2 linked regions of the Lepisosteus oculatus genome follow. Each later gene encodes a partner of the first gene's protein in a complex. Links are inferred from orthologs where the notes say so. Each region holds a gene or a part of one and is shown in the gene's direction. Other genes may lie near its edges.

What was found. Proteins that work in one complex are often made in the same cells at the same time.
Region 2: the proteins of serpinc1 (region 1) and f10 are in contact, whole or in part, in a crystal structure (PDB 2GD4), measured with the Homo sapiens proteins. The link is inferred for Lepisosteus oculatus from reciprocal best matches to the Homo sapiens genes SERPINC1 and F10. Residues at the interface, in NP_000479.1 of Homo sapiens: Asn265, Thr266, Arg267, Glu269, Met283, Met284, Tyr285, Glu287, Tyr292, Arg294, Val349, Val420, Val421, Ile422, Ala423, Gly424, Arg425, Ser426, Leu427, Asn428, Pro429, Asn430, Arg431, Thr433; in NP_000495.1 of Homo sapiens: Asn254, Glu256, Glu258, Gly259, Phe260, Cys261, His276, Cys277, Gln280, Ala281, Lys282, Thr318, Tyr319, Arg366, Lys370, Gly371, Arg372, Gln373, Phe396, Asp413, Ala414, Cys415, Gln416, Gly417, Asp418, Val437, Ser438, Trp439, Gly440, Gly442.

Annotation. Positions count from the first base shown.
Region 1 is NC_090704.1:19,397,983-19,405,697, forward strand, and holds the start of serpinc1 (antithrombin-III), read left to right. Parts: upstream 1-4,566; 5' UTR 4,567-4,612; coding exon 4,613-4,692; intron 4,693-6,424; coding exon 6,425-6,773; intron 6,774-7,470; coding exon 7,471-7,686; intron 7,687-7,715. UniProt on the Homo sapiens protein: Most important serine protease inhibitor in plasma that regulates the blood coagulation cascade. AT-III inhibits thrombin, matriptase-3/TMPRSS7, as well as factors IXa, Xa and XIa. Its inhibitory activity is greatly enhanced in the presence of heparin.
Region 2 is NC_090710.1:28,697,559-28,705,221, forward strand, and holds the start of f10 (coagulation factor X), read left to right. Parts: upstream 1-4,266; 5' UTR 4,267-4,486; coding exon 4,487-4,547; intron 4,548-4,911; coding exon 4,912-5,072; intron 5,073-5,229; coding exon 5,230-5,254; intron 5,255-6,981; coding exon 6,982-7,095; intron 7,096-7,188; coding exon 7,189-7,320; intron 7,321-7,663. UniProt on the Homo sapiens protein: Factor Xa is a vitamin K-dependent glycoprotein that converts prothrombin to thrombin in the presence of factor Va, calcium and phospholipid during blood clotting.

The DNA of each region.
Region 1 (7,715 bases):
TGAATATATTTAAGGTTTGGGTACATAACACCTGTAAATAAAGATATAATGTGCAACTGTTAATACACTCGCTTGGAGTCAGCATTTATATTAAATGATCTCTACAAATCAGTAATGCAATGATCTGTATCTGGTTGCCAATGCACAACTGAACAACTCTTATCCTTTCTTAGTCAAAGGAGTTCAGTGCCAGACTTGTAACATTTGTTTACTTAGCCATTTTGTGTCTGTTCAAAGAAAAACAATGTCCAAAAAAATTAGCTTAATGTAAGGTTGTACTGTATTGAATGTTCTGTGTTTTCAGGTATTGATGGGGACTCGCCGTGGCTACACTGTTTCTGATAAACCATGCTATGGCCGAGGACATGTTTGTGTGTTTTCACCAAGCTTGCAGTTCACTCAGGGGTGGGTTTGTGGGTAAAAACATACACATTGTCTTTTACATTGTTTAGTTTTGATTGTTTAAACTTCATGCTGAAATGATAAAAATGCATGCATTGGGTAAACAGTATTGACAATTGGCAGAAATAGAATGAAAATCCAGCTCACCTTTCAAAACATTTAGGCAAATCTAGACAAAGAATAAACCAAACCTTATTTCAAGCTCAGAAAGTACAGTGTGCTGTATTTGACAGGCTGTCACGTTGCCTTCTCACTGTATGGCCTGAAAGGTTACAAGTCACCATAGGACAACAGAATAATAGTGCAGCCATATTTCTCCTCTTCTTGTGACTAGGTATTATTCTTTAACCCAGATTCTTAAAAAATTATAGAATTGTTCATTTTACTTTGTAGCTATAATGGCCATTTTTCTTTTCATTCAGCATATCCTCATCTACCCCTTCACACTCTAGAAAACGAAGGGAAATCAGGGTAGGTATATAGTGGAGCATTTACTGTTTACCTTTTGCCGTCAGTTTGCAACTGGATTCCTTAACTGATGACAGTACAACAAGTTTGTCTTTACCCCCAAGTCCCTGACTGAGAGCTTCGTATAGAGTGTCTGTTTTTGCTCAAATTGGGAGACACTGGAAAGCAGGAAGGAAAACACATTTTGTAACTCCAATGGTTTTGCAATTTCAAATACGTTTCCATTTTAGACTAAATATTTACTGTTGTTGGTTCTAACAGAGATCTGAGACCTGTCACACTGCTGTTACTGTTTTTGATGTGAGGTAGATAAAACTTTACCAGTGTATTCTAGAAGGGAAAAATAAAAGAGGAAGCATTGATTCTAGCTGTATTTGACCACTTATTTTGCTATGAAAGCATTGCCGGTCTCTTGGTCCTTGAAAAGTGATGGGTTATTTTTTTTTTTGATCTTTGTAAGATCTGTGTTGGTCACTGTATCAGTAGTACAGTGTGTTCTGTTCAGTTTGGGGAGATGACAGCTCTTAGCAACACAACAGTTACTCAGCTTGTAGTTTGAAACATAGTGACAGGGTCTTGAGTGAAATTTGCCTCCCAAATGGAGCACTGGCAGCACTCTTGAGGGGCACCAGGAATGTTCCCCTGCCTCCATACAAACTGCATTTATTGTAACAAGACTGGGCTGCTCTTGCTGCATTGTTTTGATTTTATTCCTAACATTGGGAACGTAATTGCTTTCGATGATTACTCCCAAATTGTCTTGTAATAGATTGCTTAAATTAAGGTACAAGTTTAACTTCAAAAATTGTTTGTTTTTATATTATACTCCATTAAGGAATGTTTAGAATTATCTTTCTCCAATATGGATGTAGCTGTTATACTTTTTTCTTCATATAAAAAGAATTCACTGTGTGAAAATTGGTTTGCATTTTTGTATAATACAATCCGCTTCTTTTTTCCTTGAGTCAGGAGGGAGTAACTGGAAGTTTGAAGAAGAAAAAACAAAAAAAACCTGTGAAATTAATGTAACTTATGTGCAACAGTGATTCTTTACTGGCAGGGACTGTGATTAAATAATATTGTAAATCTTCTGTCTCATTTGCATTCATTTCCAATGATAAACCTCTGCATGCTACCACACAACATTTTTTCCTTTCTCTTTTAAGACTATCCATTTGAGCAATCGGGGATTTAACTGGTACGGGTTCATATTTGGAACAACACGTACACTGGCAGACTGGTGAGCTGCTTGTCAGGCAGACATCTGTCTGGTGCCATGGAGTTCAGTATTAAATTCCACATGGTATTATAGTGATCCTGAGAGAAAGTGTTGATAGTCCCATTGTGCACTGTGCTGTTTCAGGCAGATTTTCATGGAGGGATTTGCATGGTCAGAAACTGCTTCATGAATGACAAAGCTTCAGAATTGTTAAAGGCAGTAGCAGATCTTAAAATTGCAGATCTGTTTTTTTTTTTCAGTTGTGCTAAAATGAGTAGGGGAAGTTAAGAGTTATTAGGTAAAGGGACTCCTATCATTAAAGAGAACCTCAAATCTGTTAAGTCTTATAAGCTACCTAAACTAAAGATTGGGATCACCTTAAAGCTGTTGATAAATTCAGCAAGTCATGTGTTCAAGTAAGAGAACTTACAATGAAGATGTTCCAAGTCTTAAGTATTTAATGGTGGCCTATGATATCTGCTGAAGTGGTTCTTTCCGGGAATAGAGTAATAACACTTGGGTTATGAACATTACTAACCTTACAGGAATTCTCTGCATCGATGGGTTTAATACTCCTGCATTCAGTTTGATAGAAAAGGGATGCACTACAACAATGAAATGCGAACCAGGGGGCGCATAGAAAAACAAAAGTCGAGTCCATTGTCTTAAAAAATGGTGGTGGGTGTTTAGAACAAGATGCCATGTTGTTGAAGCCAATACCATCCATTTTCTAACCATTTAATCCAATATAGGGTTGTGGGGGAGCCAGAGCCCTATCCCAGCAAGCAATGGATACAAGAAAGAATACTTCCTGGATTGGATGCTAGCCATCGCAAGGCATGCATATACACACACTTACACCAGGACCAGTTTTCGCAAAAGCTGTTTGACCTACTTGGATGTCTTTGAACTTTCCATGGGAGGAAACCAATGCAAACGTGGGGAGAACATAACTCCACACAGATAGCACCCTGCTTTTGTAAGGAAATGGCACAGATTACTCAGGCTTGTGCTGACTGCGCTAGCCATGGGTCACACTGCCAAATAGAGGAATTCACCTTAGCTTCCTCATATTATTTGGGATGTTATCACGTGTGATGCACAACATTGCCATTTGTTGTAATGTGATGCTACATGAAATGTTCGCTAAGACTGCAGACCCAGGGAGTGCCAGTTTCAGCCCTTAATATTTGGGTCTAGATTGCAGACCTTCTGAAGCTAAATGTGGGATTAATGTTCTGATGTTGTATACATTTTTAGGAGGGATCTGTACTCTTCAGTCTCCCCATTCCAAGCATCACTTTACAAAAGCTTCTAAATGTATTAGATCTAGAGCATTGGTGACTGACATCCAAGTGATACTGAGCTCCTCTTACATTGCTCAATTAAAGGGTTTTCACGGTTTCCGACCAGTCAGTCTCTTTCTGAATGCCATTTTTTCATTGAACATGAGCTAAGGGTTTCTAAAATGGATAACCCAACTCTTCCCAAGAATGTCTTCTGGCTCAACTTTTTGGACATATCCAATGATTGTCTCAGGATTTAGATTTTTAAATAGAACAACGGAAACCTCATGTTCTGTGCTCAGTGGGTTGGATAGTTGGCTTCCACAGTCTTGCTAATAAAGTGCCATGCTTTACAGAGGTTTGTTAGGTAGCTGTGCAGCATGCATAAGCTGCATGTGAACAAGTAGAGGTTTATTCCATGCTGAAAAGCAAATTCATTAGATCAGTACTGTTTTTAATATATCTAAAACTGTTTATTCCTAGCAAAACACTGAGATAATAGAGGAATGCCAGAACCAGACTTCTCTGATTTTCCTTTAGCAGCCAAGCTTTAATTTATGGGGTCATTCTGAGAACATAAATATGCACCAGAAACACAGCTTGAGAAGAATCGATTTATTTATTAGAGATTAAATTATACAGATTAGACACCTGATCGCTCACAGGTCTGCTGCCCCTGAAACTTTGTGAAGTAAACCCCCATTTTCCCAGCATTCAGCTTCTCTGGCCACACCTGTGCAGTTGTTGCTTTAATCATTTCAACTGTGAACCCTGGTACAGACTAATTACCGCAGCCAAGCACAGTAATGCCAAGGACAGTGCAGCAGTAAACGTCTTGCTTCTTACTGCTACTTCCCTGCAGAAAAGTAGATCGCAGCAGCACCCTAATTTTATTAGTATGTGAGCAAACTGTTGATATTGAAATAGGAGCTAAATTGTCTTTAAAGTATGGAAATTTAATGGCAGATGAAAAATATTCTTGGGTTGGTTGCTCCCGAAGGTGTTTCGGGATTTGTGAGTGTATTTTCTATGTGTGAGAAGGCAAGGCTGCTCATTTCACAATGTTAAAGAACCACATTAGTAATGCAAAAAATCTTTTTTCTCCGTGTTTAATCCCAAAAGTTCAAAGATTAACCAAACCAGTTATCCTGTGTAAACGATGATCTGATTGATTGTCTCTGCACTGGCGGCCAGTGAACTCCTCGCTGTGTTCATCATAGTGCGTTTTATCGAGTTTATGGTCTCCCGTCCACATTCTGTCTCACTGCTGCTCCAGCTTGGCTTGTTAACTGAAGGAAGACGGACACTACAGGTAAGGTAGGATCTCACTGCTGCTTTTCTTTGGGCAACCTAAAATCTTAAGTGTTGCTGCAAATATGTGGAATTTTTCAGTAAAGTTGTATAAGGTAACCAAAAGTCCTTTTTCAACAGAAACCCTACGTTCCTCTACGTTTTGCTTCTAGGACTAAACAATTATGCTATGGGGTCTCTGTGCTCTTCAAATCTTGAATTTTTAAAAGTTTTTATACAAAGCCATTCTTATATTTAATTAAAATATTTTTTAATGGCAGCATTCTAATTATCTTAAGAAAGTTTGTTTTCTTATTTCAGTTTAACCTAACACTTTCTTGAATCAGTGTTCATATTTTTAATCCTGGCTAAATATGTTGGTCATGCTTCAATTTATCAGCTGGGGCCCCTTAAATTGCCAGTTTAAAATTGCTCTGTTTCTGTTGTTGGCTTGTAGATCACTTTAATTGAAATTGAGATGTTCACACATAAAGTAGATTGTGGAATTCTAAACTGCATATCAATTTCTGATATTTTTTGTTTCATATATTTTGCATCAAAATATGATCTTTCATTGATTAACCTCAAATTACATGAACACTACAGGTAAGGTAGATCCTTTGATCTGATTCTGCTTTTCCTCTGCCAGCTTGGAAATAAGGTGTGGAACATTTCAGTGACGTTGGAATACACTGCACTGTGCAATCGCAGGCAACATTGGGCAATCCAACATTTTTTTGCACACCAGCAAATAACATGGACAGAAATCAATAGGTGTCTTTTACAAATATTTTCTATTGAGAAACAATGTCCAATAGCAATGCCCTTCATAGGTCTCTTTTTCCTTAATCATTGCTAAGGCCACTGGGGAATTTTATCTAGAAACTCCTGGGTTTCTTCACTAGGGTGAAATTCCTAGTCTTGATCCATTCAGTTTTTAGCCCTTTTGTTTGAGTAACATCTGCTTCCTGATTTTCAATTCAAGTTGTGGACATTCGATCCAGTCTGAGGTGGCCAGTTGTAGAAAGTTGTAGAAGTTGTTTCATTGGAAACAATGATATGTGAGCTCTACAATGTCTAAGTAATGTCAAAGAATGCTCCAAAATAACAACAACAGAAAAAACAAGCATCACAAGCAAAGAATTCAGAACAACAGTGTTTCAGGAGATCAGAAACTTATTTTACATTGTTTGAGAGGGAGATTGCAGAGTGGATGAAAGATGTATTGAGTCCATTATACCTGCAGAAACAAGAGGTGTCTCTCAGATGGGAGTACTGTTAATTTACCATGCAAAGGTTGGGCCACACAACTCTACATAATGCTCTTAGACATCTATGTCAGTTTGTAGAGGGCATTTAGATGGTTTACCCCAATGATTTTGATATTACCTTCTTCATTTTTCCCAACCTATTACTATTAACAGCACTGATGTTGCTGAATGAACCAGAGAGACAGTATGTTAAAACACTTTCAATAAAAGGTTGTAGCAAAGTGTTGAAATAGTTCTTTCTATGTTAAGGAATCTGAGTTTCCTATGGAAAACATTCAGTGTTGCCCTTTAGAAATGTTATAACTGGTATAAATACAAGTTGTATCTGGTGTGACAGCCTTTAGATAATGGGGTTTTGTCTACACTCACTGTGACTGTGTCAAGATGTTGCTGTACCTAGTCTTGATGGTCGTGACATGCATGAACATATAGACTATCTGCTTTAGTGACTGACCCAACCTGGGCCCTGACGTGCATTTTGCCCCCAGGATGAGGCTCTTGGCTGTCTTGGCTACGTGCCTGTGTGGCGTTCTGGCTGTGGATGATATCTGCACAGCAAAGCCCAAGGACCTTCCACTGGAGCCCATGTGCATCTACCGCAGCCAAGACACAGCAGGAGATGAAGCTGCAGAACCAGACAAGATCCCAGAACTCACCAATCCCCGTGTGTGGGAGCTGTCAAAGGCCAACAGCCGCTTTGCCCTGGCCCTGTACAAAAACATGGCTGACTCCAAGTCAGCTACCAGCAATATCTTTATGTCCCCAATCAGCATCTCCACTGCCTTCGCAATGACCAAGCTGGGCGCCTGCAACAAGACGCTTGCGGAGATCATGCAGGTGTGTGTCTGAAATGGGGCATAAGCTCCTGCATCGGGGCTTCCAGACTCTCAGGATCTTATACACAGCATCTCCATCAGAGTTCAGTTCCTGCATTTTAATGGCAGAAGTACCTGTCAAGCTAAAAAAAAGAGAGGTGATGGCAAAAGTTAGTATGATGTGTAGAATTATATTGCCGTTCATTTACAAACATTTAGCAAGGTACGTTCTTGTGGTCATTTTGCAGCTTCCCACATTTTGTTCTTCCCCCATGTTTGTAACATGTCTTGCTGATGTTTGCTATGTTTTTAAGAAGACAGACTTACACTGCAGACTGCAATGTTTTTTTTCTATTCAGAATAATGGTTTCTGTTAATTTGTCCATCAGCTGTGTACAGGATTAATACAATTCAGCACAAAAGAGGATTCTGTTTGAACCCAAATGGAGCATTGCCTCCTGTGAGATTTTAACATGCTTTCTTGTTTTCTCAAAAATAGAGTTCCAATTGATTGATTGCATAGAACCCTAATGTTCTAGACCTAGTATGAAAATAGCTATTTTTACATATGCATAACCATTTGGAGTTTTATATTTACATTTGTTCAGTGCCTTTTGAATCTCTGTTCCCTGCTATCATTAAGGGAATACCATTACCCATGCTGTGTGTAACTTTCTCCAGCTTTGTGGTTCAAACTCACTCCAGCTCCGTTCTTGCAGGTGTTCCAGTTTGACTCCATCAAGGAGAAGACCTCTGACCAGGTGCACTTCTTCTTTGCCAAGCTTAACTGTAGACTGTACCGTAAAGCCGACACGACTGCCGAACTGGTTTCTGCCAACCGACTCTTTGGGGAAAAATCTTTGGCCTTTAACCAGACCTACCAGAACATCAGTGAAGTGGTCTATGGTGCCAAACTCATGCCCCTCAATTTCAAAGTAAGTTATGTCTCTCACAGCACTGAGCT
Region 2 (7,663 bases), on another chromosome or scaffold:
TACCTGTTACTCCGTCATAATTGCTGTGACTCTATAAAGGACTGTAAGAACTCATTCACTTATTCTGTGTTGCTTAAGGGAGGCTGTCACTTCCTCTTGTCAGACCAAGGGATGAATGGAACATGAGAGTGTTCTGAATTAGCACACCCCCTTGACTATAGTCCGGAGTGGTGCAGTGGCTCTGTGGCTCAGGATCTGCCCCTGTGGCTGGAGAGTTGCTGGTTCAAATCCTGTGGCTGGCAGAGGAATCCTACTCTGTTGGGCTCCTGAGCAAGGCCCTTCACCCCAGCTGCTCTAGGGGCACTGTATAAATGGCTGACCCTGTGCTCTGACCCCAAACTTTTCTCCCTGTCTGTGTGTCTCATGGAGAGCAAGCTGGGGTATGTGAAAAGACAAATTCCTAATACAAGAAACTATATAGGGCCAATAAAGTGATCTCTTATCTTAGTCTGCACTGGTAAGCCAAATGTAGACATTGTTGCCAAGGTGCTAAAAAGGAAAAAAAAAACATGGATAACTTTATTTCTGAACAAACTTAACCATCCCTCTGGTCCCGTTAATGTTAGTATTTCAAAGTGCAAGTATAGTTTCCCCTCACACTGGTGAGTGAGTAATTTAATATTGGTTCAGAATTTAAGGACATTGCAGTCAAATTATTTGCACAGGCGCTCCATGCCTTCCTGCTAGACACTGTACACTCTTCACTGATCACCATGATCGTCAATCCTGTAGCAAATGCTCAGGCCTCTGACGTTTCAGCTGAAAAGTGAAACGTGCAGAGACAATTAATCTCTCGATGTCTTGGTAATGTAGCAATTAACAGAGGCATTCCTGTCCCATGCAATGTCACAGGGCTCCCACCCTGAACATATCCCAGAGTATTGTGCTCCAGGCCATGGATAAAATACTGTAACGCATACGGCCATCAGGGTGTGTAAGAGCCGGCTTACCAGAGCGTTGACGTTGCCGCCCTTCCCTGTGATAGCAGGACCACAGCCCCTGGGCTGTGGAGAGATCTCTCTTTGGCTCACCAGGCTGGGTCCCTGCTGAGTGACATGGGAGTCCTGGGGTCAAGCCCCTGATGGTGGGGGGCTGACCTAATGCGGCATGGGCGCCCGCCTGAATCCCTGTTGTGTTACAATACTAAACCACTGGCCGTGTCGATAGGCAATAATGAACATTTTGTATCGACTCAGATCCTGAATACAAAGACTTCTACCAAGCAAATGAGCAAGATGGGTGAAAGGGTCTCTTGTCAGTTCTAGCTTTGTTTACGTTCCTATGTTGCTGCTTATACTGCTGAAGTACTGCTGGGATAGGAAGCACTGATTTTCCAATATATTGCTCATGACAACATTTGTTGCTGCTGAATGGACCACTGACTTAACAAAGACACAAGGACCGAATAAAACAAAATCTCTTCAAACACTCAATGAGGGCTTAGTAAATACTAGCCAGTAACACTAGGAAAACATCAGCAGTGCTTGGTCCCCTCAAATCCACTATCATCAAGACCTGCAAAGTCACAATCAAATCCTCTCTCGGGAAACAATGGGTTTAATGGTAGATCTGCAGGTTCATCAACCTCCTGTTGATGTTCAAGTTCAAGGCCTTCTGTGTTTGGTAGAATGACATCAACTCCAAGCAAACTAAACCATGATAAGACAAGGCAAGCTTTGAAAGGAAGATCTATAAAAACAGACAGTGGAAAGACATGTTAACAAAGATCAAGTATCTCTCCAATATCCACAATATGCTCAGCACTTTCAGTGTCATCAAAACCATCTAGTGTCCAAGAATGCAAATACCAATCTCAATGAGACTTAAGAAGACACGAGATTTGATCAAGGAGAAAGAAGTTCTTAGCAGTCATTGGAACATTTAGAAGAACATCTTAATGAAGACACTCATGTACAGTAGTAGACACTGGTCTCAGCTTCACTTCACAACAATCAGTCAGCTTTGAACCTGGAGAATGATAGAGAGAATTTTCACCTTTTCATCCATCAGAGAATAGATGTGCAAGAAGCCATCTGGGTTGTCTCCTTCCACATGCTGAAAAGCACTTTCCACTCCTCTTAAGGTGGCTTCAGACTTTCAAAAGGACCAAGAGGATCTTCACTGAGGTTTACAAGAGAATGGGACTGGCCCTTACGTCACTCAGAAGATAAAGACCCTCTCCAGCCCTGGCAAATTCAGATTCACAGGAAGACTCTAGAATTCATTAAGCCTTTCTTGCACCATGGAGAACATTTCTCACAACAAGGCCTGTCAGTTGTGATTCCTGTCGTGTTCCATGGAGCTGAGACATAGACAACTGTAATAGACCTCCCTTCAATGGTTGCATAGCAGGGGAAATCTGGACATAAAATGTCCCTATTTCGAGGACGTTAGAGAGTTATTATACCTTCCATTCCTTGATGTTAGTCCGTAAGAGGTCACACCTCCCACAGATAACAGTGGAAAACTCCTGATTCTCTCAAACTTGTTTCTCTGGTCTGCTCAAAACTGTCTTCTGTCTTCCCAGTTGGCTGGCATAACTACCTTTCAAAATGATTGCACCCAATTGCACCCTGAGATTTTGCGTTTCACTGTTAAGCAGGTTGTGACGGTCTGAATAGACAGGCCTTGTTTGTAGGTCTTTTTATGGGCCCACAGTGTTGACAGATGCAGCCAGTTTCGTGTCGTTGCCTTCTGGCAGTTTGGCTGCCGAGTTACCACAACACAGAGAAGAAATCAAATCCGTTTCAAAAGCAGTTGTCTTGAAAGATCTTTCAAATACAGCCAGAAGGCCGTGCGTCTTTTTCAAGCTGATACAACACAAATCTGGGTGATGTAACAGAGGACATCCACTTCGTCACAGCAGCTATCTCATCTAAATATCCAACTCCCAAAGCAAGGCCTTTATCTGTCTCAGATACGTTACATACTGAAGGCAGAGGAAACACGTCAAGGCCAGGAGGAGGAAGTGAAACATTGACAGGAGGCTTTGGGAAACTACTGCCTGTCAGGGAGGAAGAATCTCCTGGAAACATCTCAGCAGCTTCCCACCATACGATGGCAACACGAGACAGGAAGGCAGGGACAGAAGAGTCCTGAGCTCACTTGGTAGGCCCAGGGCCTCAAAACACAGTGTTGCTGGATTTCTTGATTTGCGTTTTTCCCTGTTGTCATACCACTTTTACGAAAAGGTTTTTAACTGGGAGGCTTCATCAGCGTTGTGGGGTACAAAGGAAGCAGCAGAGGCTCATTCCACACTGGAAAGCAGAAAGAAAAAAGGCCCCAAGATGTGAGAGGAAGGCTCCACAGCTGAAACACTGTGTTGTTTCTTCCTTCTTTTTGCTTTTCAGTGTGGCATTAACATCTCCTTGTTCCCGTGAGCAACATCTGAAAACACGATCTTTTCCATGAAGCTGAGATTAACTGACAGGAGATCGCTGACCCTCACAGAACAAACACAACTGTTATTGCACTGTGGCTGACTCGGAGTTTGGACAGTCAACTTTTTGCAGTTGCTCTAAAATGTGCGCATCTCCAAAGGGTTTTTCAAGGGAATTCATAAAACCTTAATGTTCCCCTAGTTTAAAGTGTGTGGTAGCATTGAACTTTTGACAGTCCATATTTGTTGACAACATCATTTCTAACTACAGTCCCACACAATTAAGAAATCAAGCATGAACAGTAAAATTTAACTGAAATTTAATTTATCACCACTGAAACCATTAAAACCATTAAACTAAAACCATTCAAAACTATTCTGAATTCAGAAAATGTTTCCAAAGTATTTTTTGCTGCTCTGTAGCTTTGGTACAGTATGTTTTGTTTATTCCATCTATTTAATACAGTATTTGTACAATGTGGTCAACATTTTTTTTTATTACAAATACTCTTTTTTTAGAAATCCAATAGACTAGGATATCATAAAGGAAAGAAAAAAACCCTGAAGTAAAAATCGTGTTTTTTTGTGTGTGTGTGCTTTTAGGCACACATTTGATTTCAAAAGAAAAGAGCTTGCCCAGCTCAGTTCGTCTATCTTTAAACCGCTTACACAGACTGCAGGAATCCAACAAAAAGAAGAAAAATTGACATTGTAACTGTAGGTCTAGGTTTGTCTGCAAAGTACTGTACATCAGATGAACGAGCACGACATAAACGCTAATGACAGCAGAGTTTGACAACGAAACGGCATGTCATGGTGTAAGAACTAAAGCTGCTAACCTTGTCCTGCAGAGGAACAGGACAGTCCTCTTTGCGAGATACAGTACTGGTCACAGATAAGCAGAACGAGAAGAGTTAGCGATGGCGCAATCAGACCCACTGTGTTCCTTTCGTTGGTAGGCGAAAACAAAATCATAGGTCCTGACGTGGAGACCTGTGCGTTTTCACTGTTTTTAGGCCTCTCTCGTTTCCCCTGTCATGCTGATCTTTGAACTTTTTGCTGCCATCTGCCTTCAATCTGGAGGGCTCGATTCCTAGCTAAACTGCAATGGCTCGGCTTTTGCAGATCTGCCTTTTCTTCGCGGCGCAGGCATCGGTAGGAGCCGAGGGTATGTTGACTTTCGTTATACTGTGTCAAGATCGGTTATTTTTCTTTGTTAAAATTCATTTTGTTCAGCCGGTTTTTTTTTCCCTCGGATGTTTTTTTTTATTTAAAAAAAAAAACGAACCTTAGTAGAAGAACCCAGCTCACAGTTTGTAACTATAGTCTGGGATGACATTTGGGGGGAAATATTTAAAGAAGTAGTTTGAGGTGAGCCATGCTAGAGGTATTTATCAATATTTGAAACCTAAATACAATTGTAGGCTGTGTGCCAAAGAAGTGTGCCTAACTGCCACGGCTAGTGTTTTCTTTTTTCGACTGAAAAGGGGAAATATCAAAGTATAGTAAATGGACATAGCCTGTGTTTTCAGTGTTTGTGGACAAAGCGAGGGCAAGCCAGGTCTTCAGCAGGAGCCGCCGGGCGAACACTCCCTTCGAAGAGTTTCGGCAGGGCAACATCGAGAGAGAATGTCACGAAGAGCGCTGCAGCTACGAGGAGGCGAGGGAAGTGTTTGAAAACACCGAAAGAACGGCAAGTACAGTTCTGTGCCATCTCCCCACCGCAACACGGGCGAAAAGGGCCGCTTGAACGGTTGTCACTTGATTAATGCCACCATAAACTGGTAGAAGATGGGCTTTCTTCCTACTGTACTGTACGTGTGACACGGTTTTTTTTTCTTTTTTCCTAGGATGAATTTTGGAACGTGTATTTTGGTAAGAACCCCAGATATGAACATGTGTGTGTGTGTGTCATAAGCTTTATTTTAAAAAAATAAAATATTGAAATACATCGGGTCACAGGCAAGGTGGATGAAATGAACACAGACCGTCAGTCACATGTGAATCTCCGGGGCTGTGGTATGTGGTAGTTTATGATCTCACACCTGAACTTGGTAAATAAGTGGGGCGGTTCATATTTCTCTCTTGATTCGTTATGTGAGTTAGCGGATGTTAAAATATTGCATTTTAATTGAGTGAAAATAGTGAGAATCAGTGGCATTCTGTCGCTGTGTACATGCAGTACTGTATACAGACTGGTGTACCCACCCTTTAAAAATAGTAATCTCTTATTTGTTTATGTTGGGTTTTTTTTGTATGTATTGCATGTTATTTTAAATGTATATATCAAAGAAAGATAAGCAAATGCCAGACATTTCTGAGAATTAACAATATATTGTAGGAAAGCGTATTGGAGGAAATGTTTTTTCTTCTTTAAACACACAATGGTACTAAATCATTTAAAGTTGTTTCTAAAAATTAAGTAAAACCAGTATATCCATTGGATTTTATCATTCTCATCCTTGTTCTCCCCAAGGTTTGTAAGAGAAGGAAATGCGACTAAAACTGGGCCTCTTCATTTCCCTCTCTGCCTTGTGTTGGTAGATGATTGATGATCTAAACAGGGGCTCCATTCCTCAGATTCTCTGGACAGGCTGTCTCTTAATCAAACCGCTGCTGGGCTTGAGGGCAGTTTAGACAGGAATGTGCTCGTTCAAGGAGAGCCTGGAAGGGGTAACTCCTTCAGAATTCTGAATTCTGTGAGATTTTTATTATGCATTTGCTCCAAAAATAAATATACTAAAGACCTGTCCCAAACAAATATATACAGCATACAGTACGCAGAAGGTGATAAACTAAAAAATGCACTGAAACATTCTGTGGTGAAGAATTCCGTCTTAAGGCGGTCTCAACCTCTGAATGCAAAATAAAGCAAATAAAGGCTAAAGCTCAGTGAGTCCAGCTGCAGACTCATACGGATGGAGATATGCACCTAGACCTCACTGACCTGGATATCCTTAGTAGATACCAGGCTTTGCAGTGGATGTTGGCTAATCTCTCAGCTATGACAGCTAGCAACCTCCTCTGTACCTCCGCTTTGGAAGAAGGAAGACAACAACAGAGAAAGTAAACACGAAATGAAATACATGGCTTCCTGTATGGCCCTGCAAAGACCAGTCAGAATAAAATCAAATGGTGCCACAGGGCTGAGAGAGCACAATGGCAGAAGGTCAGAGAGGTGTACAACCAGGAGGAGAATGAGAATCTGAAGTGTAAATTAGCAGAGTGTGATCCTCTGTGTGGAACCAGTAATACTGTACACTCAGATTCAGTCCAGACAGCAGACCCTCAAGGCAATTTAGGTACATCAGTAGAATCAACTTGTGATATTCAGCAAGGAAGAGTGAAAGTATTTTTCTTCGTAAAGAACTTGCTGACTTGATGGGGGACAATGTGTTGTGCAATAATTAAGAGTCCTTGTCATTTTCCAAGGACCATATTGATGAGGGTTAAAAGACACTACCATTCCGTGGAATCAGCTTCTTGTTTCCAACCAGCAGTTGTTTTCACATTGCCTGTGTCAGTCTACACACACACACACACACACACATACACACACACACGTGTCATCATCTCAGAACTCACAAACCCCTTTCCCCCAGACGGCGATGCCTGTACATCTCAGCCCTGCCTCAATCGTGGGAAATGTAAGGATGGCATTGGAGCTTACAGCTGTCTCTGTGAAACTACCTTTCAAGGGAAGAACTGTGAAATCGGTAGGTGGGCAAGTACACCATATTATAAACTCTGAACCATTAATCATTCTGGAGTCTGACCCTGATCTGTGATCTTTTCTGACCCCCACCCAGAGATTCCAAAGCTTTGTGAAAACAACAACGGGGGCTGCCAACACTTCTGCAAAGTGGTAGATGACAAAGTCACGTGTTCCTGTGCCACGGGCTATTACCTTGATGAAGACAGGAAGAAGTGCTTGTCTGACAGTAGGTATTTTCAACGCAGGACAGATAACTCGCACGCCATACTTGTTAAAAAACAGTACCTCTAGCTATATCGTATTTGGGATCACTTTACACGCCAGTGCAATTTTAATACCAAACAATTGAGCAATTTATGAGGCACTGGTACAGCACTGTAAAACTGAGGAGCAGAAATTCCATTGCAGTGGGCTGCCAGTTGTGAGTTGCAGGGTGATATGGCTGCTGGCCCTAATTTTTGCTGTTATTAGAGGGATAAGAGCCAGCGAGCAGAGGTAGAACTTCTCATAATGTCGGACTTGATCACGCTAATCAATGAGCACTTCAGAGAGAGTAGATGGAGCACGAA